2 linked regions of the Neodiprion lecontei genome follow. The protein of the gene in region 2 interacts with the protein of the main gene of each other region in a pairwise test. Links are inferred from orthologs where the notes say so. Each region holds a gene or a part of one and is shown on either strand. Other genes may lie near its edges.

The links.
Region 1: the proteins of PHAF1 protein CG7083 (region 2) and ataxin-3 interact in binary tests that used the Homo sapiens proteins (3 or more experiments, as listed by UniProt). The link is inferred for Neodiprion lecontei from reciprocal best matches to the Homo sapiens genes PHAF1 and ATXN3.

Annotation. Positions count from the first base shown.
Region 1 is NC_060261.1:6,978,352-6,986,239, reverse strand, and holds ataxin-3, read left to right. Parts: upstream 1-2,125; 5' UTR 2,126-2,595; coding exon 2,596-2,619; intron 2,620-2,698; coding exon 2,699-2,863; intron 2,864-3,477; coding exon 3,478-3,614; intron 3,615-3,842; coding exon 3,843-3,997; intron 3,998-4,084; coding exon 4,085-4,746; 3' UTR 4,747-6,272; downstream 6,273-7,888. Other genes in the region: protein lin-7 homolog C, read right to left, coding at 256-420, 547-792, 1,005-1,117, 1,298-1,339, 1,633-1,669; sulfhydryl oxidase 2, read right to left, coding at 6,273-7,686. UniProt on the Homo sapiens protein: Deubiquitinating enzyme involved in protein homeostasis maintenance, transcription, cytoskeleton regulation, myogenesis and degradation of misfolded chaperone substrates.
Region 2 is NC_060262.1:32,921,155-32,930,202, reverse strand, and holds PHAF1 protein CG7083, read left to right. Parts: upstream 1-3,017; 5' UTR 3,018-3,166; coding exon 3,167-3,230; intron 3,231-3,821; coding exon 3,822-3,904; intron 3,905-4,719; coding exon 4,720-4,968; intron 4,969-5,140; coding exon 5,141-5,359; intron 5,360-5,744; coding exon 5,745-5,894; intron 5,895-6,192; coding exon 6,193-6,357; intron 6,358-6,874; coding exon 6,875-7,054; intron 7,055-7,149; coding exon 7,150-7,347; 3' UTR 7,348-7,655; downstream 7,656-9,048. UniProt on the Homo sapiens protein: Plays a regulatory role in autophagic activity. In complex with BCAS3, associates with the autophagosome formation site during both non-selective and selective autophagy.

The DNA.
Region 1 (7,888 bases), on a different chromosome or scaffold from region 2:
TGCCCGTACACTTATGATTGGGTTTAATTATATTGTGGATCGGTTTTAAACGGTTCATTAATGAATACTGATAATGTTCTTACGAGAGATGGTCATACAGAAGTTATTTCTAGGTGATGAATTACAAGATAATTAAGCCAGATATTAATTTGTCGCTTAAAACTATAATAATTAATATAAGTAACATTACATTGTATCTATATCAGTTATTCATAAATTCTATATATATGTAGTGATAAAAATAATCATTGCAGTCTACTGCACACGTTGACGCCTACGTGCAGTTTGGTGCGCATGTTTATCAAACCGCAATTCCATTTCCTCCAAAAGACGAGGAGTATAGCGAACAACTAACTTCACCGAGTTTTGGGCTTGTTTCAGCGATTCCACAGCTGTCTCATGATTTTCGCCTTCAATACACTAGAGGAAATGAGAAAAATACAATATTTACACTATCCTGTATCATCGTATAAATTCTTGAATGGCAACGTTCGAGTATGATTAAATCTTAATATTTCATCAATGTAAAAATTTCACATTACGTACCACGCCATTAACAGACAGTAACTGGTCACCACGTTTCAAACCACCATGTCTGTCGGCCACACCTCCTGGAATAATTCGAGATATATATACAGGTGAATTTTGCTCTTTTCCTCCCATCACATTGAATCCAAGACCCTCCTCTGTTTTCGGTAATTCAACAACTCGCGGATGGGCATGTCCTTCACTTGCCGCAAAAGCAGCCACAGTCGCCTTGGCTGTGGCGGAAGCACGCACATCTTGAGAACCCTGTACCAAAAATTCCACATACTCTTATATTAGAGTGGTTTTAAACAGGATAGTTCTAATAAACTCAAAGTCTCAAAAACTCATGAATGGCGTATGCCAGGCACCAATTAAAGTATATGTTACGAATCGTTTGAATGTTCTCCAAAACTTTGGCGTCAGAGAAAGATTGATTATTTTATGAAAAAGGTATAATTGCTTATACTTAGTATTACCTGAATATCAACAGTCTCATACACGTGTTCATAGACTTCTCTTACTGCATTGAGAAAGTCGCTTTGTAGTACCTTCTGCAGAGCTGCTAACTTTGTAGCCGGTACTTCACCACCTAAAATAAGTCAGTATCAATCAAATATTCAAGATAAACTTAATTGCAATATAAATACATTACTCGATGATGTTATTTATGAAAACTTTATACAAACCATTTTAATTTGTAATAATCTAACAAATATTTGTTTTGGTAAGGATGTAGGTAATTTAAAAAAAATTTCAATCATCAACTTACTTTTCTGTAGTTTGTCGAGGAGTTCGATCGATCTTTTGACATCTATAAAAACACAAATAAACATAAGCGAGTACCAGAATGAAAAAATAGTGAATGTCCATTCTAGTAACTAATAATTAGATGATACTACAGACATACAGACAATTGAATGAATTGAAGTACCAAATTATACATTTCTTATTCTGCAATTACTTATTCAATGAATTTAGTTACATGATCAATCTAATTACTAATCACACCCAGAAGCGTATCTACGAATTGAAAACTATCCGGCGTTTGCACGACGAACTGACAGTACTCCAAACTGAGTAAACAAGAGCAATAAGTTAACTTACCCCTGGCTAATGTGAGAGGTTCCCCAATCGTTGCCATGGCTGTTAAGCGAGAGTACAAATATTTCTAATATGATAATTACTATCTTTGTTCTCCGCAATGATCACTCAGTATTTTTTTCTCAACTTTCACCAACAATGTTCTCGCTCCATCAATAATTCTGCTGGGAGTATTCCAAATTCCACAACAATAATTATCGAACACTGTCCCGAGTCTGACAATTATGACGCCTTTGACGAGAGCCGATAGGTGGAGCTCCGAGTCAAATCGCGTTATTGTTGGGCTTAGGATCATACAGTGTCGAAGAAATTATTAATTCTAAAAACTCTATAATTCTTAATGCTTTAATTAAATTTATTGACTCTTTAAAAATTAATTTCTAATATAATAATATATCTTATGTTAAAATAACCTATAAAATGTTCAAATAATTTACAGTATAAAATGTTCAAATAATTGTAATTTAATCATAATATGAAATAATACAAAACTGTAATATCAAGTGTAAAAATGGTTGTATGGGCTAGTACCCAAACAGAGAGGTGATTCCACATACAGCGCCATTCGTTGCAACTCATTGCGAGCGCGTTCCGAAATCAGCTATCAGCGCCAAAAACCACTCATCAAAAGCGAGTAAATTTGGGAGCCTATTGGCCCTTTTCCATCGGCTAAGACTGTGATTGGCTATTTGTCCTGACTTGACATAGGCATGGAGGAAGGACACTACAAGCTTGAACATTACCATCTTCTCTTTACATCCACCGCGCTTGAAAAGTGTACATTCCACACAAACGTATGTGCATACATGGATATTAATGTATGACGTTTGATTGCTTGACTTGAAATATATTATTTTACTTTTCCACCGCCTGATATCGCGTGTTATTATCTATTATCCGAGGTCTCATTTTTCGTTTTTTTCACTCGAATCTTATTTCGCTTTTTTGTAAAACCCTGACTTCACAATGGAGAGCATATTTCACGAGAAGGTAATGTAGTTATCCAACCACAGTACTATAATGCTCACTAAAATTTTCATGTCCATTTTGGTTCAAATTTATTTCTTAGCAAGAAGGATACCTTTGTGCGCAGCATTGTCTCAATGCTCTTCTGCAGGGTCCATACTTCAACGCTGTAGATCTTGCAAATTTGGCATGTCAGATGGACGAGGAGGAACGCCTCAGAATGGCTGAATCAGGCATCGACAGCGAGGAGTATCAGTTGTTTCTGGAGGTAACCGTTTGTCTTACTCTTATTATGGCATACACAATCTTTTTTTTCTCACTCTACCATCGCGTATGTATATTGCTTCGTGCGTATTCTGTGCGGATCATTAATCAATTGAAATTCCCCATGTTGATAGTATTTTCAATTAGTCAATTCAATGTACATTAGATACATCTCGGACTTATTAGCTGTTTTATCAATAGCATTACGACAACAAGCTACAGAGGATTCTCATAGTCCTATTGATTTTAAGGGATGGTAACCTTAGACTATAGAAAGTTAGTATTATCTTTTTACTGACGCGACAGAACTGTCAGTATTTATTGAGCTAGAAATAAAACTTACTCAAAGAAGCATTCTGTACTATGAAATGTAGCTGGAAATGGCTGTAAATGAAAATAGTATTACCTTGTTGTTGGCTATCCTTGCTTTGTGCATGTTGTCTGGAACCAGTTGAAAACACTATTGAATTCAATCTCACAATCCAGATGTTGTATTACAATTTATTGCTTCTATATGAAGCAGTGAAATTCCACTCCACTTTGCAAGGTCTATTGTAAAATTAAAAGCTGATGTTTTTTCATCATTTTAAGCTAATTCAATGGATACCTTTGTTATAGCAACCATCGGGAAACATGGATGACAGTGGATATTTTTCGGTGCAAGTCATAAGCAGTGCTCTTAAAGTGTGGGGTCTTGAATTAATTCCTTATAACAGCACTGAAGCAACAGCCCTAATGGCCCAGAACGATCCTTCGTAGGTTATTATTTATCATTTTTTGTTCCCATCGAAAGTACTGTGATTAACACTCATCTTGATCATCCTTATTTAAACTTAAGTGCCTCAGCACTGCTGCAGATCACGTCAAATCTTACTCTCACTGACCAAATGCAAACTGTATTAACGAAAATAATTCAATCATCGGGAACAAGCATTTATTAACTTGACAATATACCTACCAGGATTAATAATTGACTTTTTTAGAGACATGAATGCATATATTTGTAACTACAAGGGCCACTGGTTTACTATCAGAAAACTTGGAAAACAATGGTTCAACTTAAATTCAATGTTGAGCGGACCACAACTTATATCGAACACATATTTGGCTATGTACCTAGCACAGCTGATGCAGGAGGGTATGTTGATAATTTCATTTTATATTATTCGACAAATAATCATCATTTTCAATCTTCATTGATCATTTTACCATATATTCCTCACAGGTTACTCAATTTTCATTGTTATCGGTTCTTTACCTGAATGTGTGGCAGAGGATGTAATTACGAAAAATCCAATAACAGCAACACCGAGAGTAAAAGCGAGATCAAATGATTGTGTAGGAACTAGTGGTATGGGGTATCGTTTAGGTTCCAAAGAAGAGGAAGATGCTAAAATTTTGAAAACTGCTTTGGCCTTAGGAGAAGTTAAAGTTCCAAATTCATGCGTGCGTTTAGCTTCAACATCATCAATAGCAACGGCAGTCAGTAGAATGAGCCAAAAAAATCATTCAGATATTGCATCAGAAACTGGAAAACCAAGAGAAAGAATAATACCAATCAGAATTGAGGGACGCGATCAACCTACTGTAGAAGAGGAGGATGATGCTGACTTACAAAAAGCATTAAAGTTGAGCTTACAGGATGCTAATGTAGGTGTTGACGAATCTTCGAATCTTAGATTGGATCCAAGTAATGATAAGGCAGACAAATATTTACCCAATTCCAATGAGGATACGGATGAAGACGAGGATTTGAGAAGGGCCTTGCAATTGAGTCTAGAATGTATGACCACACCATCTACTCCTGATCCTGATGATTTACGCTGGCGTCGATTGGCCTTCTTAGGAATACACAACAGCGATTCTACTCAGAAGTTGAATACGTAACAATAATTCTGTGAATTGTTATTTTTTTTTGCTTTTTTTTTTTTTATTAAATCTGTTATCGATTGAAATTCAATATGTAAAGTATAATTATCTAATGAACCAAGTGGAGTGATCTTGTCACTTTTTATAACTAATGAACTAATAAAACTAATAAAGTTTACTACATTATAATTTAATTGCGTTTTTTCATTAATTTATTCTAGGTTTGTTAACAATTCTAACTCAAACACGTTTATTGTAATAATGAATAATTCTGAACAGACGTTGAAGACCGAGCCTTGTGCGGACAATAATGCCAGAAGATGATTCATGCAATTAGTTGGATTCTGTAATACATCTTCTGGCATTAATGCTGCGTGAAAAAAAAACTTTGTATCCAGCGTTATATGCAGCATTATGCTATTTGCGGAATTTTCGTGTCAGTGATGCATAGGCATTGATGATATTCATAATGAGTGACATTTCATGGTTGGTCTGTTGGTAAATACTGAGTATAGCGAGCTCTGAGATAGTACCTTTACATCCCAGTAATATTTATAAAAGCTTAGTGCACACTGCTCTCTCAATGCGTTGCATACACATAAGTGATATTAAATCATATGTCAGGTATTCACACTGTATAAACTTAATATGGACCATGAGCGATTAACCAATTATATGATGGATTTACAAGAGAAACCCCCTACCTAATTCTGACCATACCACAGAATGAAATCACGGAACAGAATGGTGGAAAGTAACTCGAATCCTCGTCTCGCTCATCTCTTTGACAATTACTTACGACGTTCACTCCGTTCCATCTGCAGAATTGATGTGAGATTTAAATAATTAAATATCAGAACTACACCTGTAATTACATCGATGATTTGTAACATTGAGCCGCACCACCATCGATTCAATAGATGTGTTGACTGACTGTTGAGCTAGTTATGCGAATCCCAGAAAGTAATACTATCGAACCTGTATTTCGTTTCGTTTTACTTTTCTCTAATTGGTACGGAACAAATCGAAAGTTCGTAATGACTAGTTTGTATTTCATTGCAGCGATATTTACATTCATGAGGTATGTAAGTATGGGAGGTTCTATTTACACTGTTAACGAGTTTAAATAGCTACAATTTATTTTAATTCCGTTTCGTAATTCCATTCAAATTTGCCACATGCAAGAATTCAACTATTGCATAGATTTATTCAACAAAGTATCTATTTAGATGCATTTTTTATGTACAAGACCTTTACAGTTTATCCATTCAATACAGGGCTAAAGTTATGTTCACTGATCTATTGAAATTACAACGGATTTTCGTTTCACCACTCTTATTATTAGGATACTATTTTTTTTTGGCAACTAATGTTTTTCATTCTGGATTTATTTTAGATTTGATTATACTCCCTATATTGTAGCGCTGCGCCAACAGTGAACAGACAAACTGAATATACATGATTTCTCCCAGATTTAATGGTAAACTTTATAATGTGATGCAATGTTTCTTTGATAAATCAAATCGCATAAGCGACAAACAAAGTTATACTTTGCCAAAAAGATCATGTATATATGTTTTCTTCCTGTAAGTCCTTTTCATCGCAAACTTTATACAAACAAGGACGAGTATCGTTGCAGACGTTACATACAGGACCACACAGATGCTTATGTCAAATATTGTAAAATCCCATCCCAATTTTCGTTGACCACTATACTTATCTGAAGCAAATCGTTCTTGTCTAATTTTGAGGTGAACGATACTGTTATTCTCGTTTAGTTTTCCACTTGAATTATAGTAACTTATTTCTGAAGAGCTGTACTTGCGATATAAGTAACGTAATATTTCTGCTTCGTTCCAACTCTCGTTATTGTATTTGCAAGTCGAACATTGCTCTTTGGACGGATATTGTACTTTTTTATGCATAGGATCTTCAGTTTTATCACCAGCCAGTCTTTTGTTCACAAGATTGTGCGATTTCCACAGCCACAAAATACTTTCGTTTAAAGTACGTACTTCAGACATTTTATTTTCACCAGCCATTTTGACGAAATGTTCGGAACAATCAGCACATCCAAAAAAGTTTTTGATATATCCAAGCATAGCTTGTAAAACTTCTTGTGGTTTATATTCTAGATTGTTTTTATTACGGATTGCAGAGTTTACGGTGAGCATATGGAACATTGTCCAAAGTCCACATGGGTACCCACGAAAACTACTAACACTCCCCTTGCATCCAATCCATCCCTGTGGCCCAGAGTATATGGGGGATATTTCTTCTTCGGTCGATTTAACAATTTGTCTGAATTCTTTCCCTGTCAGTCTTTCTCGCTGATCAACAAGTTCTCTTAATCTATCTAAAAATAAAATACCATTGCGTCCAAATGGAAAGTACTTTGCCAGTACATTCAGGTAAGCTTTCAGCGCCTGAATCTTGTCCCCCTCTATAACTTTAACCATTGGAATTTCGTGGTCAATCGAATATCTCAATGCTGTCTCTAAATCTAACTGAAAAAGGAGATCTCCGAGTGCTCTGACTTCCTCCTGTTCTTTTTCGTCTCTCCTTTCTTTCATTATGTCCAACACATTTGGTATTTCAACCTTCATCCACTCGCTGGGATGTTTATTAGTATTATCAGGTATATCTACCGTTATTCCTTTCAACACTAAAAATTCCTTAATAGCTTTTCTTATTCCTTCTCTTGTTGGGTACCTCACATTTATAAGTTGCTGCGAACTGTTACGGCCTAGTGCAATTAGAGTAGGAAATTTATTTACTGAAAGCATTATGCTAAGTGGCTCATTCTCAGAGGTCACACCACGAACTTGTATACTGCTGATGTTGTGTAAGTCTAAGGTCACCTCAGTGGCTAGGAATGAATCCACCGTTTCAAATATTAAAAAGTTATATTTTACACCGGCAGGTAAATCTTTCCACAAATTCTTCGTATCCCCACTTCTGTAACATGCAATCAGATGACACATAATTTTTCTGGCTTCATTAAACTTCTGCTTCTAAAATTGCAGATAATTAAAACTAGTAATTAGAACAAGCAGTACTCGAAATTGTCTTGAAATTTAAAAGGGGCTCATTATGAAAAATTACTACCGCCGTATACTGGAATAGTGGAATTCAACACCAATAGTGTTCCCGGTACGGC
Region 2 (9,048 bases):
CCGTGATCATAATAAGCGAAACAAACATATTTGGAAAAAAATATTATGAAATTGTCGCTTATCAAACGGCCTATTTAACGTTATACGCATTCCTTGCGTACACGCGGTCTCGAATCATCAGAATTCAGGTATGAAATCACATACCGTAGCTACTGCTGGCACTAATCTACATACGAGTATAGTGAGTACACACGACAGCTGTATGTACAGAGATGCATATTGCGTTACGGCTTCACTTGCGAAAGATAGTCTCTGGTAACAACGAGGGGAATGTCGAAGGCTTGTCTCTGAGTAAGATACAAGCGGGTAACGTGTCGTTAAAGGTCTCCAGCTGTTATCGCGAATATTTTTATTTACTTACGATTAATGCGAAAACTCAGGGCTTGAGAGGAAAGGGGCAAGGGGGAATGATTCGCGGGGGTCGTGCCTCTTCGTCGTGGCAACAACACGAAGTTGATCTTTGCGCAAACCCACAGCTGATATTGCTTCGCCTGTGTGTGACTCTCTACTGTAAATGCATGTAATATAATATGCCAGCCAAGGTTGATTTTCACCAACGAACTATTTTCCTTTACTTGTATATTATGGTTTCCAAAATTCGACGGAAACGTCGGTATAATTGTGTCAAAATGAATTTACCAATTTGTGAGCAGAGGTCCGAAAGACTCTAATCTGGATTTAAATCCCTGAGATTTACTCTCTAGTTACACTGCAGCTATTAATTCTGTCACTCAAGGTACGACAAAGAATATTTAGAGACTTATTACGGGAATTCAGGAGCTCGACCAAAATGGTTACGGGATCTTGCAAAAAATATATTTCAAGACAATAATAGTGTGTAAAGGAATTCGATCAAAGTATTACGCAGAGGGACGTCTTCGTAATCGTTAAAATTCAACCAAGCTTCGGATCGTCGCTCGTGTCTAACGTTTATGCCGTATATTATAGGTTTCTATTTGCGTGCAATTTACGCTTCGTTGTAAACTTACAATTAGCGCACGAATGCAAACCAGTGGTCCCGCTTCGACATACTGTATATTATTTATTATCACCAAGATATGTTTGCGGAGCGAGTCGAGCCCCCAACTGACGTCACATTGACTGACGCCGACAGTCGCAATAAGATAAAATTTGCTCTATCTCTCTTTATTTCTCTCGTGTTGTATGCAAGAGGTTAAGTGAGTGTTTTTTTTACTGAGAATTACGATTTTGCTACTGATTGGCAATTATATTGCCAATCTTCACCGCAATTATACTCATCATGTGTGGTTCAGCAATGTTGCAGTAAATAAGGATGATGCAATTTGAATGACGAATGTCATCTATGCATACGATGTCACGCGAACCGATCGCGAAAAGTTCACACTATGATTAGAGTCACGCTAGGTTTTTTTTTTTTTTTCATTCCAAACAGCACGTATAATTCAAGAAATTCGAAAATGCGACTGTCCAGATATTTCACAGATGTAAGAGTTTGAAAAATGAACAATTCGAAGACGAAATTTTGAATATCTCAAACGTGTAAAACTTGAGAGGTATATTGATAGAGAAATTGTTGGAATCCATCATTGACTGTCACAAAGGTAGTAAACATTTCAAACTCAGAGATAAAAAAATACATAGAAACAACTCCAAATAGTTTGAATATTTTTAGACATACCATTGACAGAACTGGTAGAGTTGCGTAAGTCGACTTTGTCCCCATCCCCTTCCGCACACTTTAAAGCACAGGGTTACGAGGTTTGCAGTTACGATCTTGAGTCCAATAGACTGGGGGAGACCTCTGTCTAGACACAGAGAACCATGGAGAAGTCTTTGGTCAGGACAGCTGCTGCAATATCGACAACTTACGATTGTTGTGAGACAATCCTGGCAATTTTACCAGCATTAGAATTTCAGAGAAATGTAAATACCTTTTGCCGCTTCTCTGGCCGACTGATAACGTAGATGCTGTATTTGAGAGAGGAATACATATACTTAACGCACGCGGATGTCACTGGTAAAAATTTATACTCGCACTACTGACTTGTGCACATTTATCGAGTCACTGGCAATTTTACAATCATTAAAAGTAGTTTATCTTAGAAGTCAAGCATTCTAAAGTTCGAAACTCCAATAATCTAAAGGTGGAAAGTTGAAAGTGTGCATTAGCGATAATGCGGAACGTACAGACGTGTCTGATCGAGTGTGATGGGGAGAAGCAAGGCTTTTATTTACTTCCTTTCAGCTCAGAAGCGACTACCTCGCAAGTCATTATTATTACAAATTGAAAAATATTTTTTATCATATCGAAAAACACACGTCAAAAGAAAATGAAAATAATACATTCGCGACACAGGACATATTTTTACATTGTACAAACGTCAAGTTCTTACGTTGAGTAAACGCGGGAATGTAAATTGTTGCCCTACGTGAAAACAAAAGAACGTGGGAGTTATGTCGAGAATATTTCGAAGAATGCAATTATTTCGCATTGTCTCACTATCTTCCACAAAATTTCGTATTATCCAAACGTCGACGACGCATCTATGCAAAAAAATGTAAATGCACCGACGCACAAAAGTTCACTTGGAGTACACGAAAGTCATTACTTGCAGGTTTTCAAGATTCTGTATTGAAATGGAGCAAAACTAATTGATTTTACTTAAAAAACATTTCCTCTCCACGCAGGGTGCATAGATCAAACATGTATCAGTTCGATTTCACTCACCGAAATAAAGAAAGAAATTTGATAAGTACCAACGACAAGACAGAGATTAACGAAATCGTGACTTTTGCTACATCGCGCCGTTTAGGAATATCCGAGCGCTACCTAATCGTGGAAATTGTCCGCGGTATCGAATTTTCGAAAATATACTCACGATCATACCTCGGTAGAGAATACTATCGTTTTCCTGGAGTTTTATACAATTTGCCGCGAAATATGCACGGGGCCCCGCGAAAGATAGGGTCTTCCCTGGGGAGGCGCGCGGGATCAGCTGTTCGGTGACAGTTTGCCAGCCGCGGTGGGAGACGGTGTGGTACAAGAAAGTCAACATGGCCGCTTGCTAAGCACAAATCGTACGTCGCAAACAAAGAAACGGCGCAGTTCACGGAAAAATTACGGCCGCGTTGTGTGGTTTTAGTTGATTTTCTGTGACTGATAGGCTTGGGAGTATATCGTAGGATGCTGGAGCTTGAGGTGGTACCCGAGAGGTCTCTCGGTTGTGAGCAGTGGGAATTTATTTTAGGCAAGTGACGAAACATTCGTAAATTCTCTCGGTATATTACGTAGAATTTTGCTGAAAACGATATTCCGCTTGAGGGTTAAAATTTTCACAACGCAATCGCGTCATGTTTTCATTGATTTTCAACAGTTGTCATCGCCCCAATCGCAACCCTCGTGACTTCTATAATTCATTATTACAGGTTTAGTTGTGGTAAACAATTATATTTTGACAATCATTGCACGTAAACAAACTCCTATCCGTGTGTACGTAAACATCAACTCCATTACATAATTCGAATGTTTATTTTCTGCTTTTTTTTATTTTCATTTATACCTGTCTCACGCCAAATTTTCCAACATTGTTATAACAAAGGAGTATAGCCGTTTCAATATGCAGGGCTAGCTCATTTCTTCACGGGTTATTAAATACGAGCCGCGATTGTTTTCAAGGTTCTCGACACTTTTACTTTTATCCATCTTTTCACATACATACGCGTTAACGTGCTTCTAGTTGCAGCTAAACTACATAATTGTAATTACCGTACGAAAGTTATTGTTAATGTAAATAATTTCTACTCTCGTTTTTTTCTCATTCGTCTTCTTTCTTCAACAGGAATGCATTTCTCTCAATCTGTAGCAATAATACAATCACAAGTGGGCATTATAAGGGGAGTACAAGTTCTTTACAGTGATACTGTAAGTATTTCAAATCCACTATCACTATCAGTAAATAGTAATAATGGCAGAATGCCACAGTCACGGAGTGTAAACAGTGGGATGGGCTTTTGTAGTCTCCACTAGTGACATCTGTAGTCGAACTTCATACCTACAGATCCAAAACATTTGAGGGTGGGGATAACGCGTAAAATTTTATAAATACAAACAGAATACGTAACATATGCTATTTCGATTTGAAAACTATGCTAATCGAATATATAAAGTACGGTATCTCATATTATGCAGAATTTTGGCTTCTACGCAATAAGAGATTTGAAATCAAATTTTTGCTCTGCAAAGTTCACCTTCTGAAAAATGAAAAGGCGGAATTTATACTTCTGATATTATTTAGATTTTTTTTTCATATCTTCATTGCTGAATTAATTCTAGACGAATCAATTCGTGATTTACAAAACAAATAGCCAAATCTGCAGTAAATTGATTGTACTTGAAAAAATTTACTGCCAAAATTGTATTTTAACAGAACAGATATGAAAGAAGAAAATTGTAATAATTCAGCTGAGATTTCTGTAGTTAATATTCTGAGGTTTTAGATAACCATTATTTGTATAACTGCTATATTATAGAAATCGTCAGACGAATTTGAATTAAAATTTTGCATGAAAACGTTTATATTATTCCTATGAGTGGAATGATTGAATAAAAACAAAAATTTGTTTGTTCTCAATAAAAACTATTCAGTCCATGTACCAACTTTTGAATTAACGAAGCTTGAATCATTGTTTAAGAATCAGAGAGTCGATGTAAGATAAAGTGACGTTTCTTTTTTTCAGAATCCATTAGAAGTAGACTTAGTAATAAATTTACCACATGACGGGGTACGACTTATATTCGATCCAGTCGCGCAGAGGTTGAAAATTATAGAAATATATAATATGAAGCTAGTTAAACTTAAATATTGTGGTCTGCCTTTCAATTCACCAGAGGTACTTCCATCTATTGAACAAATAGAACATTCGTTTGGGGCTACTCATCCTGGCGTCTATGACAGTGACAAACAGGTACAATTGAGATTATGCAGTGTAAGATATTTTAGATTCATCAAATATAACATCTGATATTCAATTACTTATTTGTTTTATAACTGTACTTCTTCAAGAATAACTTGATTTGCTGCTTGTATGAACGATCAGATAATCTTTTTAACGCTTATCACTTGTTTATAATAATAGTAATAAACTTTTCCTGTTTCAGGTGTTCGTTCTGAATTTCAGAGGACTGTCGTTCTACTTCCCAATAGATTCTAAATTTCAACCAGGCTATGCACATGGCTTGGGATCCTTACGATTCTCTAACGGAGCTTCACCACTGGTGGCTAAAACTGCTATTTATGTTGGAAATAATGTTGCTACTGGAACTGCTGGCGGAGGAGAAGAACATAGTCCCAAAACATCTCCTCCACCTTTACCACTCGTTCGTATATCCATTTTCCTCTTAATTTATTCAAATTTCATTTGTAAATTGTAAGAATTTGCAAAGTAAATCGGTAATAATTGTCTAACTACAATTCTATAATTAGCTGATGTTCGGCAATAAAACTTTGCTTTAAGGGCGTAACGGTAAAAAAAATTGGGCACTTCCAAGATTACACTAACATCAGAGTTGAGTTACATCTACGGAATGGAATCTACATTACGGAAAATGGATTTTTTTATTTTGTTACTCATATCTACCACTGAATGTTGCACAACGATCAATAATAGAGTTATGTCACGTTTACAACCAGTGGATTTTAGAAGATAACAAATATTATCACGAAATAACGCATAACTTTTAAGAATAAGCTTATTTTTATTAGGTCTGCTACCATAACAACTTGTATTTGGACAAGGCAGAAGTAATTAGAGATAAAATTCGTACCCGTGGTTTGAAATTGCATCTCTTCACGGAGGGAGGCTCAGCAACAAGGGTTCTATTGGAGCCTAAAAAACATCGTTTTACCAAAGAGGTAAGAATCGCAAGATACCTTTGTTTCAAAATTCGAATATTAAAATGTATAACATACTGCCAGCAGAAATCATTTCTCTTTTTTGTACGACCATCTACTAAATTAGAAGTCCCTTCAATTTCTACAATTTTATAAATTGTAACTGTGATCAAATGACTGCTGAACCTTTTCAAAGCATATGAAACCTTGATTATAATCATAAAACATATTGTTGATGCTACTTCCTTGAATTTCTCAATAAGTAAAGATAAATAACAAATGAACTACTTATATATGGATTTTGCAAATGTGACTTAAGGTATGGTTCGGGGATTCGTGTGAAGATGTGTTGAGTGCTCTTGGGGCGCCTTCTAGAGTATTTTTCAAAGCAGAGGACAAAATGAGAATCCACAGTCCCCATGCGCATAAGCGGGACAAAACCAGGCGTTCAGATTTCTTTTACAATTACTTTACCCTTGGACTGGTAAGACTTGATTCCATATAGTTATCGCATTGAACACTTTTTTCATTTCTATTGGTTTTAAAAGAAATACCGACATGCACTCTAATTAGAATTTTTCTTAAGATGGAATTCATGCCTTATTGGCGAAACAATGCAAATAATCCTTCTTTGCCTGAAAGATCATCTGAAATCCCACGAGACATCAATGTGTCAATTTATTTGATAATCTTATGTTAGCCAAATTCTTTAACTACACAACAATACCTGTATTGACAACTAGTTGATTTTTATGTTAAATATACTAACATAATATTATAATCCTACGTATTTTTGATCTATCGATTTTTTTCTTGCTCACAAACACTATATCAGAGTTTTACGTATTTTAAAATATCTCATTTTACTTTGAGAAAAAAGGTATCGCAAGAGATGTTACTTCACAAAGGCATCGTACTCAACCGTAACGATCCTCAAATCAATTATTCGGTGACGTTTTCTGAAAAGAGCTGTTTGTAATAAATTTTCATTTGTTAATCAGGACGTATTGTTCGATGCCAAGACGCAGTGGGTAAAAAAATTTGTACTGCACACAAATTATCCAGGGCATTATAATTTCAATATGTACCATCGTTGTGAATTCACTTTGAATCTACCACCGGAAACAATTGGCGCATCCGATTCTGGAAAACTCATTGACGTTTCTCCATCCCCAGTAACAGTGAGTCATGATTGTATTATAATCAAGCAAGCCTGATAAGATTTGCTACCGAAATGGATATACAACATGATATACATATTACTTGTGCGTTACAGATCACTGCCTACACTAAATGGGACAGAGTAAGCGAGCAGTTGAAGGCTAGTGCGCGACCCGTTGTATTAAATCGCGCATCTTCGACCAACACTACAAATCCATTTGGATGCACGTTTTGCTATGGCGTTCGCGATGTGATCGTAGAAGTAATGGCTAATCAACATATTGCCAGTGTTACGTTATATGAGACGGCGTGACCCATGTAAACAAAACTGCTTGTAAAACTCTTTGCCACTTCTCCTTTACGAGAGCAAGAAATATGATAAATTTAACAAAATAATGGTAATGATAATAATAACAACAACAACCAACAACAACAACTATAATAATAATAATAATAATAATGATAATAATAATAGTAATAGTAATAATAATAACAGCAACAACAACAATAATAATAATTCATTTAAGTCTACGTGAGTAAGTGATATTTTATGTGAAAAAATGATTAAAAAAAAAAAACAATAAGGGAAAGTGATAATCTCTAATTGAGAAGGGTTAATTTTGCAGATCTGTAATGCAGCGCAAAATATGACATGAAAAACAGCAGATGAGCAGAGTTCTCGACCTGAAGCCTTATTAATGAAAATGAGGAAACATTTCGAGTTTTTTGGGATCATTACCGTTTGAAATTACTCACTCTCCTAACATAAACATCACTCTGCTAATTTTTCACTTGCCTAAACTCAAAGTTGATATAGGACCATTCATTCATAGATTACGAACTCTATTTTATGTACTACGTAGAATAGATAGACTAATCTATAAGTGGATCTCCTAGCCTGATACAAAAATGTTATATACAATGGAAGTGAAAACATTGAAAAAGTAATATTATCGCATGCGTACATAAATATACATACACACAATTTACTGTGTAAATGTGTATATATGTTTAACGCTCCAGTAAATTTATATTAAATTCAAACTCAATAGACAGTGTTTCGGCCAATAGTCAGTGGAACTTTCCTCGGTGCTGTTAATGGCTGTTTTACGTTTACTCAAATAATTTTGTAACCCTGGAGGAGCTAGCTAGAAGCCAGGGCTTAAAAATACAATTCTCTGATCGTGGTTCCCGATTTCTATCTCCAATACGGTGACATTGTTTATCCATATCAATACTTACAATGCCTGGTATCGATTCTACATAATAGTTTTTAATCATAGTACAATACTTTCATATTAGGCTTAATGGCCATAATTATCAATATGAATTATAATACTTATGGTAGTGGATTACGTCATGTAAATCAAAACCCTGTGTCTCCCCGCACTCAGGCCTTTGCCCTCTTGTTCACCCCAAAAAAAGCATAAAAATATTAAGTAATAAAAATTTGCGTAGATAGTAATTATATAGTTAAAAGAATTTATGCAAATAATTATAAATGATAATTAATTGTAACGTGTAATGTTAATATTTAATTTTCATAACTCAATTTTTCTAACGTGTAGTTTAAGAAAAAGAGATGAAGATTAAAAAAATGATGAAAAAAATAATTGTAGCAATGCTAGAGTGCCGCAAGTGACGCAGCTTTGTGATGAAATTTAGTTTACACAGATTTAGTTAATAATTTCTAATTCCTAATCAATTATATGATTGAATAATTGTGAGATTTTTCAAAGAAAATAATTTCTCGTAGTCAAGCGAATATTATTACCAATCATCTTTTAAAATCATGTTCTCATTATCTAAGTACTACAGGTACTCTGACGTTGAAAAAAAAACCTTTTCCTTACGAATGGATACCAATACTTACTAAATATTTTTCTAGTACAACAAAAATCGTTATATAATTAAATTTGGGGAAAAAATCAGGAATAACAGATATTAACAGTTTCATCACAATATCACGCAAACATTTATAACTTATCACAACCCATTATATTGTTAGCTGTGT